Linked DNA regions of Macaca mulatta. The protein of the gene in region 2 purifies or fractionates together with the protein of the main gene of each other region. This does not show direct contact. Links are inferred from orthologs where the notes say so. Each region holds a gene or a part of one and is shown on either strand. Other genes may lie near its edges.

Region 1 (4,731 bases), on a different chromosome or scaffold from region 2:
TTTAGTAGAGACGGGGTTTCACCGTGTTATTCAGGATAGTCTCGATCTCCTGACCTCGTGGTCTGCCCACCTCGGCCTCCCAAAGTGTTGGGATTACAGGCATGAGCCACCGTGCCCGGCCGACAAATTTTTTATACCAATGATTTTCATGAAAGTAAAACACTAGTTTGAATACATTTTATTAAAACATCCAATTAAAAGAAAGAACAAGGCTGGGCATGGCTCACATATCATGGTGGCTATAATCTCAGCACTGTGGGAGGCTGAGGCGGGTGGATCACCTGAGGTCAGGAGTTCGAGACTAGCCTGGCCAACATGGCGAGACCCCATCTCTACTAAAAATACAAAAATTAGCCAGGCATGGTGGTGCACACCTGAAGTCCCAGCTACTCAGGAGACTGAGTCAGGAGAATTGCCTGAAGCTGGGAGGTGGAGGCTGCAGTGAGCAGAGATCATGCCACTGCACTCCAGCCTGGACAACAGAGGGAGACTGTCTCAAGGAAAAAAAAAACAAAAAACGAAAAACAAAAAGGCTGGGTGCCATGGCTCACATCTGTAATCCCAGCACTTTGGGAGGCCGAGGCCGAGGCAGGCAGATCAGTTCAGGTCAGGAGTTCGAGACCAGCCTGGCTAACATGGTGAAACCCTGGCTCTGCTAAAATACAAAAATGAGCCAGGTGTGTTGGCAGGCGCCTATAATCCCAGCTACTCAGGAGGCTGAGGCAGGAGAATCACTTGAACCCCCTAAAAAAAAAAAAATCCTAATCCTAACCCAGAAATAAAATGGCTCTACTCTAATGAATGGGAAAGTTTGTAATCTTTGAGATTTTATATATATACACATATATAAAATCTATGTGTGTGTATATATATACACTGTCAGTCAAATATTCACATTCTAAATGACTGTCAGAAATATTCCATGGAAACTTCATCTCTGAAGATTATACATGTTTAAACTGAACATCATCTATCTACAGCAAATCACACTTCCCATCTTTGAACTAAAAGGAACCAGAACTTACCCTACCTCCTAACAAGCAATATTTGGTCCTATTGCTTCTAAACTATTGCAACCAGAATTCCAGTAACCAAAACATTTGCTGTGTTCTCTAGGCATATCAAGTGTTTTATTTAGACCATTCTGAGGATTTTGCTTTAAAGGCTTTACATGCAGCATTCAAGTATCTCTTAATATAAGACAGTCTAGTCTTTCAGAGATCATGTATCATCAAGGTCTGTAGAGTTTTCACTGTCATTTGCAACAAGAGCTTCTCTGTTCTCATAAGTCCAGAAGCCATTCAAATCGATTAGAATGGTGGTTACTGTGTCTCCTTGATTACTGTTGATTAAATCCTGAAGAGAGATTTTCAAAGGATCCTTTGGTTTTACCATGTCAAAGATTTCATCCTGCAAGAGAAAAAAAATACAATGAAATTTGATCCACTTAATTTCTATCACACGTCGTGATCCAAAATTCAGGGCTGTCTGCATCCACTGAAGTATGGAGGAATAAAATTGAGGGCTGCCACTTGGGCTTATGTTAATTTTTTGTTCTACTTTTTTTCTTTTCCATTTAACAGGCAGTTTCCTTTTCTCTACCTACAATCACACAATTTTATTGGATAACTCCTTAGCTATGTGATAGCTGTCCTTCATTTTGTAGATGAAGAAACCAAGGCTCAGCATCTAATCCAGCTACATAGGTAATTAGTGGCAGAACTATTTAATGCAGTGTTCAGGGACTGCATGTTAACTAATTTCTTACATATTTTTCTATTGCCTTTCTAATTGGTGGTGAAACAAGGTTTTGTCTGTAGTTTTTGTTGTTTTGTTTTGTTTTTGAGATGGAGTCTCGCTCTGTCATCCAGGCTGGAGTGCAGTAGAGCAATCTCGGCTTACTGCAACCTCCGCCTCCGGGGTTCAAGCAATTCTTCTGCCTCAGCCTCCCGAGTAGCTGGGACTAGAGGTGCACACCACCACACCCAGCTAATTTTTGTATTTTTAGTAGAGATGGGGTTTCACCATATTGGCCAGTCTGGTCTCAAGCTCCTGACCTTAAGTAATCTGCCCGCCTTGGCCTCCCAAAGTGCCGGAATTATACGCGTGAGCCACTGCACCCAGCCTTGTTTTTTTTTTTGAGACAGAGTTTCACTCTTGTTGCCCAGGCTGGAGTGCAATGGCGTGATCTCGGCTTACCGCAGCCTCTGCCTCCTGGGTTCAAGCGATTCTCCTGCCTCAGCCTCCCAAGTAGCTGGGATTACAGGCATACACCACCACATCCGGCCAATTTTTGTATTTTTAGTAGAGACGGGGTTTCTCCATACTGGTCAGGCTGTCCTCAAACTCCTGACCTCAGGTGATCCACCTGCTTTGGCCTTCCAAAGTGCTGGGATTACAGACGTAAGCCACCGTGCCCAGCCCCTTCTTTTTTTGTGTGAGATGGAGTGTCCCTCTGTCACCCAGGCTGGAGTGCAGTAGTGTGATTTTGGCTCACTGCAACCTTTGCCTCCCAGGTTCAAGCCATTCTCCTGCCTCGGCCTCCCGAGTAGCTGGGATTACAGCTGCGTACCACCACACTCGGCTAACAAGGGTTTGGTTTAATTTTTTTTGCTAATGGTTCAACTCAATTAAACATCTAAATGGTTCAGAGATAGTGACAAAGCTTCATTTCCAATATTGATGTCAACATTTTATTAGGATAGGAGAGGAGTTCTTTCTGGATATGCATTAGATATCCAAAAAGAAGCTAAATGCTGCTAAAACTTACTGGAACATATAGAAGACCTCCTTCTATATTATGAAGTGTACAACAGATATTTACAGGGAATTAGTACATGTTTTCTAATCTTTTTGTAGTAAAATTACTACAAAATTTGTAGTAAAATAAAATTTGTAGTAAAATTACTCAGGTGAACAGGCTCTTTGAGGTAGCATACTAAAAAAAAGTGCCTGAACCTAAACAGTTTCCAAGGTAAAAATTCAGTTTACAGTTGAATAGACTGCCGTAGGATGTAGACTGTACTGACTGTCTTAATTTTCTTTTTTTTTTTTTGAGTCGGAGTTTTACTCTTGTTGCCCAGGCTGGAGTGCAGTGGCGCGATCTCAGCTCACTGCAACCTCCACCTCCCGGGCTCAAACGATTCTCCTGCCTCAGCCTTCCGAGTAGCCAGGATTACATGCATGCACCACCACACCCAGCTAATTTTTGTATTTTTAGTAGAGACGGGATTTCACCGTGTTGACCAGGCTGGTCTTGAACTCCTGACCTCGGGTGATCCGCCCGCCTTGACCTCCCAAAGTGCTGGGATTACAAGCGTGAGCCACTGCGCCCGGCCCCCTGACTGTCTTAATTTTCAATTAAAATGAATGAATGCCTCCAATGAGAACATAGTGATGACAATACTAAAATTATAAACTATATAAATAGTCCAAATGTGGTCTCAGTTCGTAATGATTTAAATATCAGTTCAGAACAAAAAGCAAATACTTGATTCAAATAGTACTTCATTACTTGCTTTCATATAAAATTTCATGTAATACAAATGACTATCTCACAATTATCTGGTAATATGTAAATTAAAGGAAAAGATAACCTTGACATCTTGAAATGAAACAGGATCTTGTCCGTGGATTTTCATTAGTTCCTGTATGGCCTGTATTTGATAGAAATAAATCTAAGTAAAAAATGAAATACACAACATCCCCTCTCTTGCCCCACAACCCCTTTCTACTTATAGTTCCTTTCCTATCAGACCACAAACCTCATCATTCTCTTGACAATCTTTTTAGCTTTCTTGACCTTATTCCATATCAATGAGCAAAACCTAAATTCTCAGTGTATTGACCTTTTTAGACCTGTATCTTAACTACTGAGAACTTCAGGAAAAAAAATAAAAAGACTACAGATTGCTGCGTCTACATAGGAATGTTCTCCAACCTCAAATGGGCCCTCAACATGGCATCACAATTATTCTGTTTGATCTGCTCCTCTCATTTTCCACGAATGTTATTCCTGCCTTCACTATTAAGACCCCCAATCTACTGTCTCCCTTCCTACCCTACACTTTGCTTTCTATGTAATACAAGAAATGGAGGTAGACCTCCCAAAACTCTTCCTTTTTATAAACTTTAACAAAAAAATGAAAAAACAGCTGTCATCCAGTGGGACTACAAAATACTTCAGGTGAGCATTATTCAGTGGAAATGTGAAGTTTAAAATTCTTGGTGAATAGTCAACTAACTTTGTTCCTAATGCCTACTCCGTATGTGTTACCACTGATAATCAGAGTATCCATAAAGGAATCTCTTTGAAGTAGATAAGCATCTGAGTACATGCTATGTTAATATAGTAATAGGCTTGGATGGTATGATCTAGAGGGAATCATCCAGGCCCAGCTTTATCACTAGGATACTGATGTCCAAACGCTCTATGAATAGCCCAGGATTATAGGGCTCAGCACTGGACACTTTTTTTTTTTTTTGAGACGGAGTCTCGTTCTGTTGCCCAGCCTGGAGTGCAGTGGCCGGATCTCAGCTCACTGCAGGCTCCGCCTCCCAGATTTACGCCATTCTCCTGCCTCAGCCTCTCGAGTAGCTGGGATTGCAGGCACCCACTACCTCGCCCGGTTAGTTTTTTGTATTTTTTAGTAGAGACGGGGTTTCACCATGTTAGTGAGGATGGTCTTGATCTGACCTCGTGATCCACCCACCTTTGCCTCCCAAGGTGCT
Region 2 (5,588 bases):
AAGGGCAGCTTTATTCCCTACTGTACGTCTAGTATCTAAAATAGAGTCTGGCACATAGGAGGTGTTGATAAATATTTGCCGAATAAATAAATCAAGACTATAGGATTTCATATCCTGTGTTCCTTCTAGTATCCTGAACTATCTCAGACACAACTAAAATATCTGGCATATGAATATAATCAGCAACCGTGTGTCCCACCCCAGACTCTATTCCACCCTTAGGTCCTACTTCCTTTCCTGACTCCTCCACTTCTCAGCTACACAGCTTTGGCCACGTTATTTATGGTGCTTCAGTTTCCTCATCTGGAAAGTGTGGACAAGGACAGGACCTACTTCAAAGAGTGATTATGAGAATTCAATAAGATTGTCAGTGTTATTCCTCTGCACTGTACCTAGCATTGAGCAAGCACCCAGTAATTTGTTATTCAGATGGTTTAAGTCAGAGGTTGGCAATTTTTTCCCTGCAACGGGCTAGAAAGCAAATATTTTAAGCTTTGAGGGCCAGACCATCTCTGTTACAACTACGCAACTCTGGGCTGTAGCACAAAAGTAGTCCATAGGAGCTTCCAGACAGATGAACACCTAGTGGCTCCTAGAAGGTGGAATGCCCAGGGAGGACATGGAAGCACCACACATCTTCCCCCAAACCTCACCCCATGTGTGTCTTCATCTGTATCCTTTGTAATATCCTTTAGAATAAACCGGTAAGCTGCCTAGCTCTGATCCTGGCACAAAAACAACTCCCTACAAATGTTTGCTGGTTAGTGGATGGATGGATGGATGGAAGGATGGAATGATAGACAGCTGAAGGAAGTGATCCTGGAGTTAAAAAAAAACAAACTGGCTGGGCACAGTGGCTCACACCTGTAATTCCAGCACTGTGGGAGGCTGAGGCAGGAGGATCACCTGAGATCAGGAGTCTGAGACCAGCCTGGCCAACACGGGGAAACCCAGTCTCTTCTAAAAACACACACCCAAAAATTAGCCAGGGGTGGTGGCCTGGGCCTGTAGTCCCAGCTACTCAGGAGACTGAGGTGGGAGAATTGCTTGAACCCGGGAGACAGAGGTTGCAGTGAGCCGAGATCACGTCAGTGCACTCCAGCCTGGGCAACAGAGTGAGACTCCATCTCAAAAAACAAAACAAAACAACAACAACAAAAAACTATGGCCATATCTGTTCCCTCTTCCTGGGCAGCTCTTTCCCACCTTCTTTCCATCTCTTCTTAAATTCTGCATCCTCAGAGGGGCCTTGCCTGATTGGCCTACTTAAAATGGATCTGCCCCACCCCACTTTGTACTTGCTGTGCCCTCTGCCTTTAGGTGTGTTCTCAAACTTGATCTCAACAAGGCCTCCCCTCACCACACTTTAAAACTGCATCCCCCAGGCCGGGCACAGTGGGATTACATGCCTGTAATCCCAGCACTTTGGGAGGTCAAGGTGGGTGGATTACCTGAGGTCGGGAATTTGAGACCAGCCTGACCAACACGGAGAAACCCCATCTCTACTAAAAATACAAAATTAGTTGGGAGTGGTGGCACATGCCTGTAATCCCAGCTACTTGGGAGGCCGAGGCAGGAGAATCGTTTGAACCCGGGAGGCAGAGGTTGCAGTGAGACAAGATCACGCCACTGCACTCCAGCCTGGGCAACAAGAGTGAAACTCCGTCTCAAAAACAAACAAAAAAAACCCCTGCATCCCCCATCTCTCTTATTTTTATTTATCTCCCTACTGCTTATCTCCAGTATACTCTGTTTATTATCTCTCCTCACTGCAAAGTAAACTCCCCTACTGCATGCCAGTGCTTATAACAGTGACCTGCACAGAATAGAAGGCCAATTCAATATGGATTCACTGCCACAACATCCTGTTTGTTTCCTTCCCATCACTTTTCACACACTCTGTTGACCTGTTTCACACCTGAATCCTGTATAGCAACTGGTGTCTCCACTATATCCCCAGCATCATACCTGATACATGGCACGTGTTTACTGAACAAAAGAATTCATACAACTGCCCTACGAACTAGGTAATTATCCCCATAAAAGAGAAGAGGAAATAGGCTTAGAGAGATTAACTAACTTGCGCATGTCAATCAGTGAGAAGTGGAAGGGCCAGGAATACAACCACAGCCGGTCTGCCCCCAGAAACAGTGATATACCAGGAACCTAGGAGGCGGGACCCACGTTTGGCAGGTTACCCAGTGCACCTTGTTCAATTTTATAAATGCGAAAACTGAGACCTAAAGGGAGGATAGGACCTCTTTAATCACCACTCCCAATAATCACAGTTAATATGTATCAGGCCCTTACAACAGGTCTGACACCATTCGACTTTTTATTTGTGCCATAATTCGTTCAGTCCCTCACAAGTCCCTCCAGCAAGACCAGGACTACAATTAGCCCATATTTTATGGAACACGGAGGCCCAAAGCGGTGAAGTAATTTGCACAAGGTCACACAGCGGGTGGCAGCCCTGCTCAGAGCCTTGGGCCACCGCATCCCATAACCAGGAATGTTCATCCGGGCTGGGCGCCGTGGCTCACGCCTGTAATTCCAACACTTTGGGAGGCCGAGGCGGGTGGATCGCTTGAGGTCAGGAGTTCCAGACCAAGCCTGGCCAACATGGCGAAACCCGTCTCTACTAAAAACACAAAAATTAGATGGGCATGGTGGCTCGCGCCGGTAATCTGAGCTACTTAGGGGGCTGAGATGCGAGGATCGTTTGAACCCGGGACGCAGAGGTTGCACTGAGCCAAGATCGCGCCACTGCACCCCAGCCTGGGCGACACAGGGGCTGTCTCAAAGAAAGAAAGAATGAAATGTTCATCCACTTAGCAAATCCTTCACCCCCTATCCTGATCAATGGGAGGATCTGGGGAGATGGGGAAGCGGGTTTCTACAACGTAATTCGTTCTTCAATTTGGCTAGTCCCCACCTTTGGTGGGGGGGGGGGTGTTTTTGCGTCCCCGTCCTCTCAGGACACCTAAACCAAAATGAGACGTGGAGAAAGAGCAGGAATTGGGATGGCAGGCCTTCGCCTCTCGGTCCCCACTTGGGCCAGCAGTCGAAACCCAGAAAAGAAAAAAACCTTCCCAGGTCCTGACCCATCAGGCGGCTCTCCCCCACTCGGAGCAAGTCACGAGCGCCCCACATCTCCAAGGGGCCATTCAGAGGCCGCCGCCAATCACGGAGCCCTCCTCTCTCCCGGACCCAGTCCGCCGACCCCAGCCCTGGCCGCAACCTCCCAGGACCGCGGATCGCGGACCGCGGACCGCCGCGCGCACTGAGCAGGCCCGGGACCCTCGAGGCTAGCGCAGGCCCCCGCCCTTCACTGGGCCAACACCCAATCGAGGGCGCCGTCTCAATGAGTCCGGGCACCCGGGGAGATAAGAGACGCACGTTGATTGGCCGCCGCCCCTTCCGCCACTCCCAGCGAACGCTGAGTCTTCTCCGCGAGGGCTGCCCATGCCCCCAGGTACCCCTCCCCGTCTTCCCCAAGTCCCCCGTAGCCTCCGTACCTGAACGTCCTCGTTGCGGAGTTCGTCTATGAGCACAGCGATGGGGTACAGCGAGTCGTCGCCGTCGGCCGCCGCCATCTTGGCTCTGTCCCGTTCCTGTCAGACTGCGGCCAGCGCTCTGCTGAAACGGGGGGGCAGAGCTGGGAGGAGGAGGAAAAGCACGCGTGGGGGCGCCCGAACCAGTTTACAGGGGCTGCTCCACGGCCATTGGCCGCGCTACGCCGGCCTAAACCCGCGTTTCTTTGGTCCGGACTAGTGAAGTCCCGCCCACTTCCCATTTGCCATTGGTCGAGTGAACGAGATTTGACTAGTTTGAGCCTAGGGGAGGGGGAAGAAAAGCGGAAGTCAGCCGTGTCCTAGCGACCAAGATTGAACCCGCCTTCGTCGCTGCTAACAACGACCGGGACGAGCAGTTGTTTCTAGCCAATGAGGGGCGATATGGGGAGGACGCTAAGCCTGACCTTTGGTGGGTCCCGGGGATGGTTTCTGCGCGTGCGTAAGTGGTAATACGTGACGTCATGTGGGGAGCGGGAGGGTGTGCAGGTTTTGGGTTACCAGGCCATGGTTCCGCTGGCTGGCAGGCTGGCTCCCCGCGCCTTTGCGCGGCCGGAGGAGGGAGTGAGACTTTTATTTGTGTTTGATTTATGCCAAGGCCCAGAGAAGGGAGCGGCTTGCCCTGCTGTCTCTCTTTTTCTTTTTCTTTCTTTTTTTTTTTGCCTTTTTAAAGACAGGGTCTCGCTCTGTTCCCCATGCTGGAGTGCAGTGGCGCGATCTTGGCTCACTGCCGCCTGGACCTCCCCGGGCTCAAACGATCCTCAGGCCTCAGTCTGCAGAAATAGCTGGGATTATAGGCTCGCGCCGCTAGGCCCGGCCAGTTTTTTAAAGAATTTTTGTGGAGACGGAGTCACTGTGTTGAGCTCAGTTGCCTTGCTCTTTGGATGAAACCCAAGTTCCTCGGGCCGGTATTCAATACCTTGTCTAGGCGCGTCTCCCGCCTCCGTTTTTTACCTTTTGTCTGATGTCCTGGAAAATCAGAGCTGCCTGAGCACATCTTGCGTTTTCGTGCCAGCAAGCCTCCTTGCCCAAGCTGTACGTTCTGCCTTTCTTATTCACTTCTCAGATCTCTGCGTAAATGCTCTTGTTCTCTAGGCTTCCAGAGCCACCAGAACCTCTCTCTCTGTCTCTCCAATCCCATCTATGTGTCTCAATCCCAGAGCCTGGGCTGTGACTATGCATTCGAATCTGTTTCCTCCATAGAGTGGGAGCAGGATTGGATCTGACTAATCTCTGTTTTTAACCTCTTCAACAAAGCCCCACCCCCACCGCAATCTTAGGACCACTCTGAGGGAGTTGGATGGGGATGGTAAGGCCTGGGATGCTCTCTCTTCCTTTATTCTACTACTTGAAGTGCTGGGCTGAGCTAGCACTCTGGCAGCTCTGAATACCCACAGCATCTATTTTTTCTTTCCTTCTTTCTTTTTCTTTCTTTCTTTTCTCCTTCTTCTTCTTCTTTTTTTTTTTTTTTTTTTTTTTTGAGACGGAGGCTCGCTCTGTCGCCCAGGCTAGAATGCAGTGGCCGGATCTTGGCACACTGCTGCCTCTGCCTCCCGTGTTCAAGCAATTCTCCTGCCACAAACTCCCGAGTACCTGGGATTACAGGCGCCCACCACAACGCCCGGCTAATTTTGGTATTTTTAGTAGAGACGGGATTTCACTACTTTGGGCCAGGCTGGTCTCAAACTCTGGACCTCAGGGTGATCTGCCTGCCTTGGCTTCCCAAAGTGCTGGGATTACAGGTGTGAGCAACCGTGCCTGGCCCAGCATCTATTTCAGATACCCTTACCCACTCCAGTTAGGAAACTACTGCTCATAAAAGTGGGGATGGGGGTTGAATATTTCAGTCCCAGCCCTCCACATTCCCAGGATTCCCCTCAGCCCCAAGGCCTCTGAGGCTAGGGATCTTTTTAGCTACGCGTGCCTGTCTTGGTGTCAGGCTGCTTGGGATGTTGGGCTGGGGGCCTTTGAAGTGCCTAGGGCCTAGGAATTTTCAAAGGCTTATGAGCCATTATA
Region 3 (5,112 bases), on a different chromosome or scaffold from region 2:
TCAGGCAGTAATGCTTGCTCTCCCACCACTCACCTCCTGCTGTGTGGCCTGGTTCCTAACAAGCCATGGACCAGGACTAGTCCACAGCCCAGGGGTTTGAGCCTCCTGAACTAGGACATAACAAGTGCTTAATAAATGGGAAAAACTTTTTTTTAAATTATTTTCCTTTTTCTCTAGGCTCTGGCTATCTCGGTTCCTAATAGGGTTAATAGAATTATGTTTTAAGATTCTTTCTAGTTCTAAAAGGCTATTTCTCTACAGGAGAGTGAACTATTTCTTTCTATATTAAGAAATTCTGGGACTGGGAATAGTGGCTTAAACCTGTAATCCCAACAATTTGGGAGGCCAAAGCAGAAGGATCACTTGAGCCTAGGAATTCAAGACCAGCCTGGGCACAAAGGAAGACCCCATCTCTACAAAAAATACAAAATTAGCCAGGCAGGGTGGCACATGCCTGTAGTCCCAGCTACTCAGGAGGCTCAGGTGGAGGGATCGCTTGAGCCTGGCAGGTCAAAGCTGCAGTGAGCCGTGACTGCACCACTGCACTCCTGCCTGAGCAACAGAGTAAGACCCTGTCTCAAGAAAAGAAAAAGAAAAAGAAATTCTGGGGTTTTAAATTCAGGTCACACTGCCCCATCTGTAGTTTCTCAAAATGTTTGTAAAAACTTAACGAGCAATGTGTCCATTTAAAAAAAGGATTATTGACCGGGTGTAATGGCTCACATCTATAATCCCAGTCTTTTTTTTTTTTTTTTTTTTTTTTTTTTTTGAGACGAGAGTCTTCCCCCTTGACGCCAGGCTGGAGTGCAGTGGCGTGATCTCGGCTCACTGCAACGTCTGCCTCCCAGATTCAAGCGATTCTCCTGCCTCAGCCTCCCGAGTAGCTGGGATTACAGGAGTGCACCACCATGCCCAGCTAATTTTTGCATTTTTAGTGGGGACGGGATTTCACCATGTTGGTCAGGATGATCTCAATCTCCTGACCTCATGATCTGCCCGCCTTGGCCTTCCAAAGTGCTGGAATTACAGGTGTAAGCCACCACACCTGGCCTATAAGCCCAGTCTTTTGGGAGGCTGAGGCAGGAGGATTGCTTGAGGCCAAGAGTTTGAGACCAACCTGGGCCACAAAGGCCCTATTTCTACATAAAAGAAAATAAATAAATACATACATGCATACATACATACACAAAAAGTATAACTTACCAACAGTTTTGCTGCCTGAACACGAACCACCCAAGAGCCATCACTGACCATGTGACAAATTTTTCCAAACGCATCATCAACTAAGCGTATTTCTTCATTAGAAGAAGGAATTGGGACAATGCTAAATTAAAAGAAAATAAATGAAATCACTTAGAACAAAACATGATCCTAAGTTTGCAGGCTCAGGCCAGGCACAGTGGCTCACATCTATAATCCAGCACTTTGGGAGGCCCATGCAGGTAGATTGCTTGAGCCCAAGAGTTTAAGACCAGCCTGAGCAACATGGCAAAACCTCATCTCTACAAAAAAAATACAAAAATTAGCTAGGCATGGTGGCATGCGCCAATAGTCCCAGCTACTTGGGAGGCTAAAGTGGGAAGATAACTTTAGCTCTGGAGGTGAAAGTAGAAGTGAGCTGAGATTACACCACGGCACTCCAGCCTGGGTGACAGAGCAAGACCCTGTCTCAAAAAATAAATACAGTCTGGGCACAGTTGCTCATGCCTGTAATCCCAGCACTTTTGGAGTCTGAGGCAGGTGCATAACTTGAGGTCATGAGTTCGAGACCAGCCTGGCCAACATGGCGAAACCCCCTCTCTACTAAAAATATAAAAATTAGTCGGGTGTGGTGACACACGCCTGTAATCCCAGCTACTCAGGAGGCTGAGGCAGAAGAATCACTTGAACCTGGAAGGTGGAGGTTACAGTGATCCAAGATAGTGCCACTGCACTCCAGACTGGATAACAGAGCGAGACTCCATCGCAAAAAATAATAATAATAAACAAATAAATACATAAGTAAGCAAGGCTGCAGGCTCAATAAACTGAGAACAGTCAATGAAGACTGACACACACGAAAATGATAACTGAATAGTTCAAATCCTAGAATGATTAAATACAGTTCAGAATAAACAAATCACGCTGGGAGTAAAAACCAACTCTTTCAGTTGCGTTGCAAATTATGCTTTTTTTTTTTTTTTTTTTGAGAGAGGGTCTCACTTCTGTCACCCAGGCTGGAGTGCAGTGGCATGATCACTGATCACCACAGTGTCAACTTCCCAGGTGGTCCTCCCAGTTTACTCTCCTGAGTAGCTGGGACTACAAAAGCATGCCACCACACCCAGCTAATTTTGTACATTTTTAGTAGAAATGGTTCACCATGTTGCCCAGATTGACCTCAAACTCCTGAGATCAAGCAATCCACCCGCCTCGGCCTCCCAAAGTGCTGGGATTACAGGGGTGAGCCACTGCACCCAGGTGCAAATTTTCAATATACTGAATAAAAGTGTGTAACCCACCAAAGGGTCAGCCAGGTGTGGTGGTTCACACCTGTAATCCCAGCACATTGAGATACTGAGGCAGGCAGATTACCTGAAGCCAGGAGCTTGAGACAAGCCTAGCCAACATGACAAAACCTCATCTCTACTAAAAATACAAAAAATGAGCCAGGTGTGGTGGTGTGCACCTGTAATTCCAGCTATTTGGGAGGCTCAGGCACGAGAACTGCTTCAACCCAGGAGATGGAGGTTGCAATAAGTTGAGATTACATCACTGCACTCCAGCCTGGGCCACAGGGCAAGACTCTGCCTTTAAAAAAAAAAAAAAGAAAACATGTAACCCACCAAAGGTTCAAAGATTTATGAAATTATCAAAAACTAGCTTCCACCGAATATTTCATATCCTTAAGCTTATTATCTCCTATAACTGAACTTCTTTTTTTTTTTTAGAGAGAGTGTCTTGCTCTGTCACCCAGGTTGGAGTACAGTGGTATGATCTCGGCTCAGTGCAATCTCCACGTCCAGGGTCCAAGCAATTCTCCTGCCTCAGCCTCCCTAGTAGTTGGGATTACAGGCATGTACCACCATGCTTGGCTAATATTTTTATTTTTAGTAGAGACGAGATTTCACCATGTTGGCCAGGCTGGTCTCGAACTCCTGACCTCAGGTGATCCACTCACCTCGGCCTTCCAAAGTGCTGGGATTACAGGCACCACCGTGCCCTGACTGAACTTCTATAAATACAGTAAATCTCAGAATAAATCAAGATAAAACTTACTCGTCAATCCAGTCCTAAAAAAAGAGACAATTTCCAGTTAGCCCTTTTCTTTGTATGTGTCTAAGTCCTAAAACACTACAAATGGAGCCTACTCCTACAGGTTTATTAATTCATTCTGGTTTTCAAATTTTGGCAGTTTAATGAAGAGGAAAAAACACCTCTTTTTCCTATACGAGGAAAAATAAAATATTCTATAAATATTTATAAATAAAATATAAAGAAATATAAAGAAAATATTCTATTTTATACAATATAATAATATTGCCTACCTCCTCAAAGAAGCACTGTGAAAATAATAATTTAATTGCTGTGAAAATGTTTTTAACCAGGAAAACAGTACATAAGAGATCACTATTCTCAAACTCATCTGGTATCTTTATCTGGCATTTGGCACAAACCAAACTAAAATGGGTCCCAAACAATTTTAAAGATTTTTTTGTAAAGTACTGAAAACCATTTAAGAAAGATATTCCAATTTCTTCACTTATAGATGACAAGGTTAGGACCAAAGAAGTGAAGTATCTTTCTAAGGGTGTACAGAAAGTTCCTATCAGAGATGAAAAATGAGGACCAGGCAATCTGATTTTCAGCCCCTTACTCCCCATTGCCTTCCAAAAATCTAACCAACATTTCTTTTCTAGAAGTGGGCTTTCTGCACGGTGAGAGGAGAGGAAAATGGCTTCACAATCAACAAAAGTCAGCTTACACCCACACTGACCTTTCAGGATAGAGCTGACTGACAACCCAGATAAGCTGGACTGCAGCACTGCGCACTTGTTCATAGTCATCAGAGAGCAATTTACAGGCCTGCAAAGAAGAATTCCAAAAGTCTATTAGCTCTGTGTCCTCTCAGGCAATGTTTAAACTATTTTCAAAGTGAAGATAGGGTGGTTGGATAAGGATGCCCAGTAAAATACTTGTGTGTGGTTTTTAACTTCTTGAATCTTTGCCGAACAATGAATCTTGACCTCTGTCAGCTGCTCTGGCTATAATCTGACTAGGCACCCTCCTACCCCAAGTCTGAAAGGAGAATCACAGACTGACGGCATAAAAACATTTAGAATAGCATCAAACCCAGCAAAGCATGCTGGGAGCCCACAGTACTATTTTCACAGGCTCAAATACCAAATATGGGTTTTTCCCTCCACCTGTAAAAATCAAAGCACACACTTCTCTTTACTTTGGTCTGAAATCATTGGCCTCCATTTCAATCCACTCACTCTTTCTGGGTAGCCCCATACTCCCTAAATACTGATGGCTCTGAATAACCTACCCTTAGCTCTGATTTCTCCTGATCTCCAGACCTTTATAACTACCTATGGCTGGAATTCTCTTCATGGATGTCCCATCCAACTTTTATACTCCACACATCCAAATATGAACTCACTAAGGAACCAAATTCTACCTTATGTCTTAAATCCTACACTATCAATCCATCCTCACTCCCTTGAGGCTCTCATTACTGCTTGTTTAGACTACTCTTATGCCACCAAACATCTGAATCAGCCAACTAACGTTCCTTCCTTCCTCTGAGTCCTTACTATCCAAGTTTCCTTTAATTATTTGGCTTCCCGCATAGTTTTCCTATAGAAAAAGAGGGCGATGGTCACCCCACCACAAGCATTCTGGACCAATTCTACTTCATTCAATAGAAAAATAAACTTGGTTTACACATCCGTGATAGGGGTTTGGCTAATTATCTTCTTCCCATGAGAGATAAAACCACTCTTGGCAGACTAACAAAACCTAATCTCTGAACATGAATTTAGATTGCCTGTTACCAGATTCAGTCAATTATTCTCCAAGAGAAATATAGCCTTGTAAGGCCTTTTGGTTAGGCCCTCAATCAGCTTT

The links.
Region 1: the proteins of PPP2R1A (region 2) and PPP2R3C purify together in Homo sapiens (co-immunoprecipitation; 3 studies listed by BioGRID and IntAct, with this or other methods). This does not show direct contact. The link is inferred for Macaca mulatta from reciprocal best matches to the Homo sapiens genes PPP2R1A and PPP2R3C.
Region 3: the proteins of PPP2R1A (region 2) and INTS4 purify together in Homo sapiens (affinity purification with mass spectrometry; 3 studies listed by BioGRID and IntAct, with this or other methods). This does not show direct contact. The link is inferred for Macaca mulatta from reciprocal best matches to the Homo sapiens genes PPP2R1A and INTS4.

Annotation. Positions count from the first base shown.
Region 1 is NC_133412.1:108,204,536-108,209,266, forward strand, and holds the end of PPP2R3C (serine/threonine-protein phosphatase 2A regulatory subunit B'' subunit gamma), read right to left. Parts: intron 3,657-4,731; coding exon 3,597-3,656; intron 1,411-3,596; coding exon 1,222-1,410; 3' UTR 1,105-1,221; downstream 1-1,104. UniProt on the Homo sapiens protein: May regulate MCM3AP phosphorylation through phosphatase recruitment. May act as a negative regulator of ABCB1 expression and function through the dephosphorylation of ABCB1 by TFPI2/PPP2R3C complex.
Region 2 is NC_133424.1:64,383,921-64,389,508, reverse strand, and holds the start of PPP2R1A (serine/threonine-protein phosphatase 2A 65 kDa regulatory subunit A alpha isoform), read right to left. Parts: upstream 3,672-5,588; 5' UTR 3,597-3,671; coding exon 3,519-3,596; intron 3,507-3,518; exon of another isoform or gene 1,406-3,506; intron 1-1,405. UniProt on the Homo sapiens protein: The PR65 subunit of protein phosphatase 2A serves as a scaffolding molecule to coordinate the assembly of the catalytic subunit and a variable regulatory B subunit.
Region 3 is NC_133419.1:78,376,312-78,381,423, forward strand, and holds part of INTS4 (integrator complex subunit 4), read right to left. Parts: intron 4,066-5,112; coding exon 3,977-4,065; intron 2,822-3,976; exon of another isoform or gene 2,653-2,821; intron 1,325-2,652; coding exon 1,204-1,324; intron 444-1,203; exon of another isoform or gene 1-443. UniProt on the Homo sapiens protein: Component of the integrator complex, a multiprotein complex that terminates RNA polymerase II (Pol II) transcription in the promoter-proximal region of genes.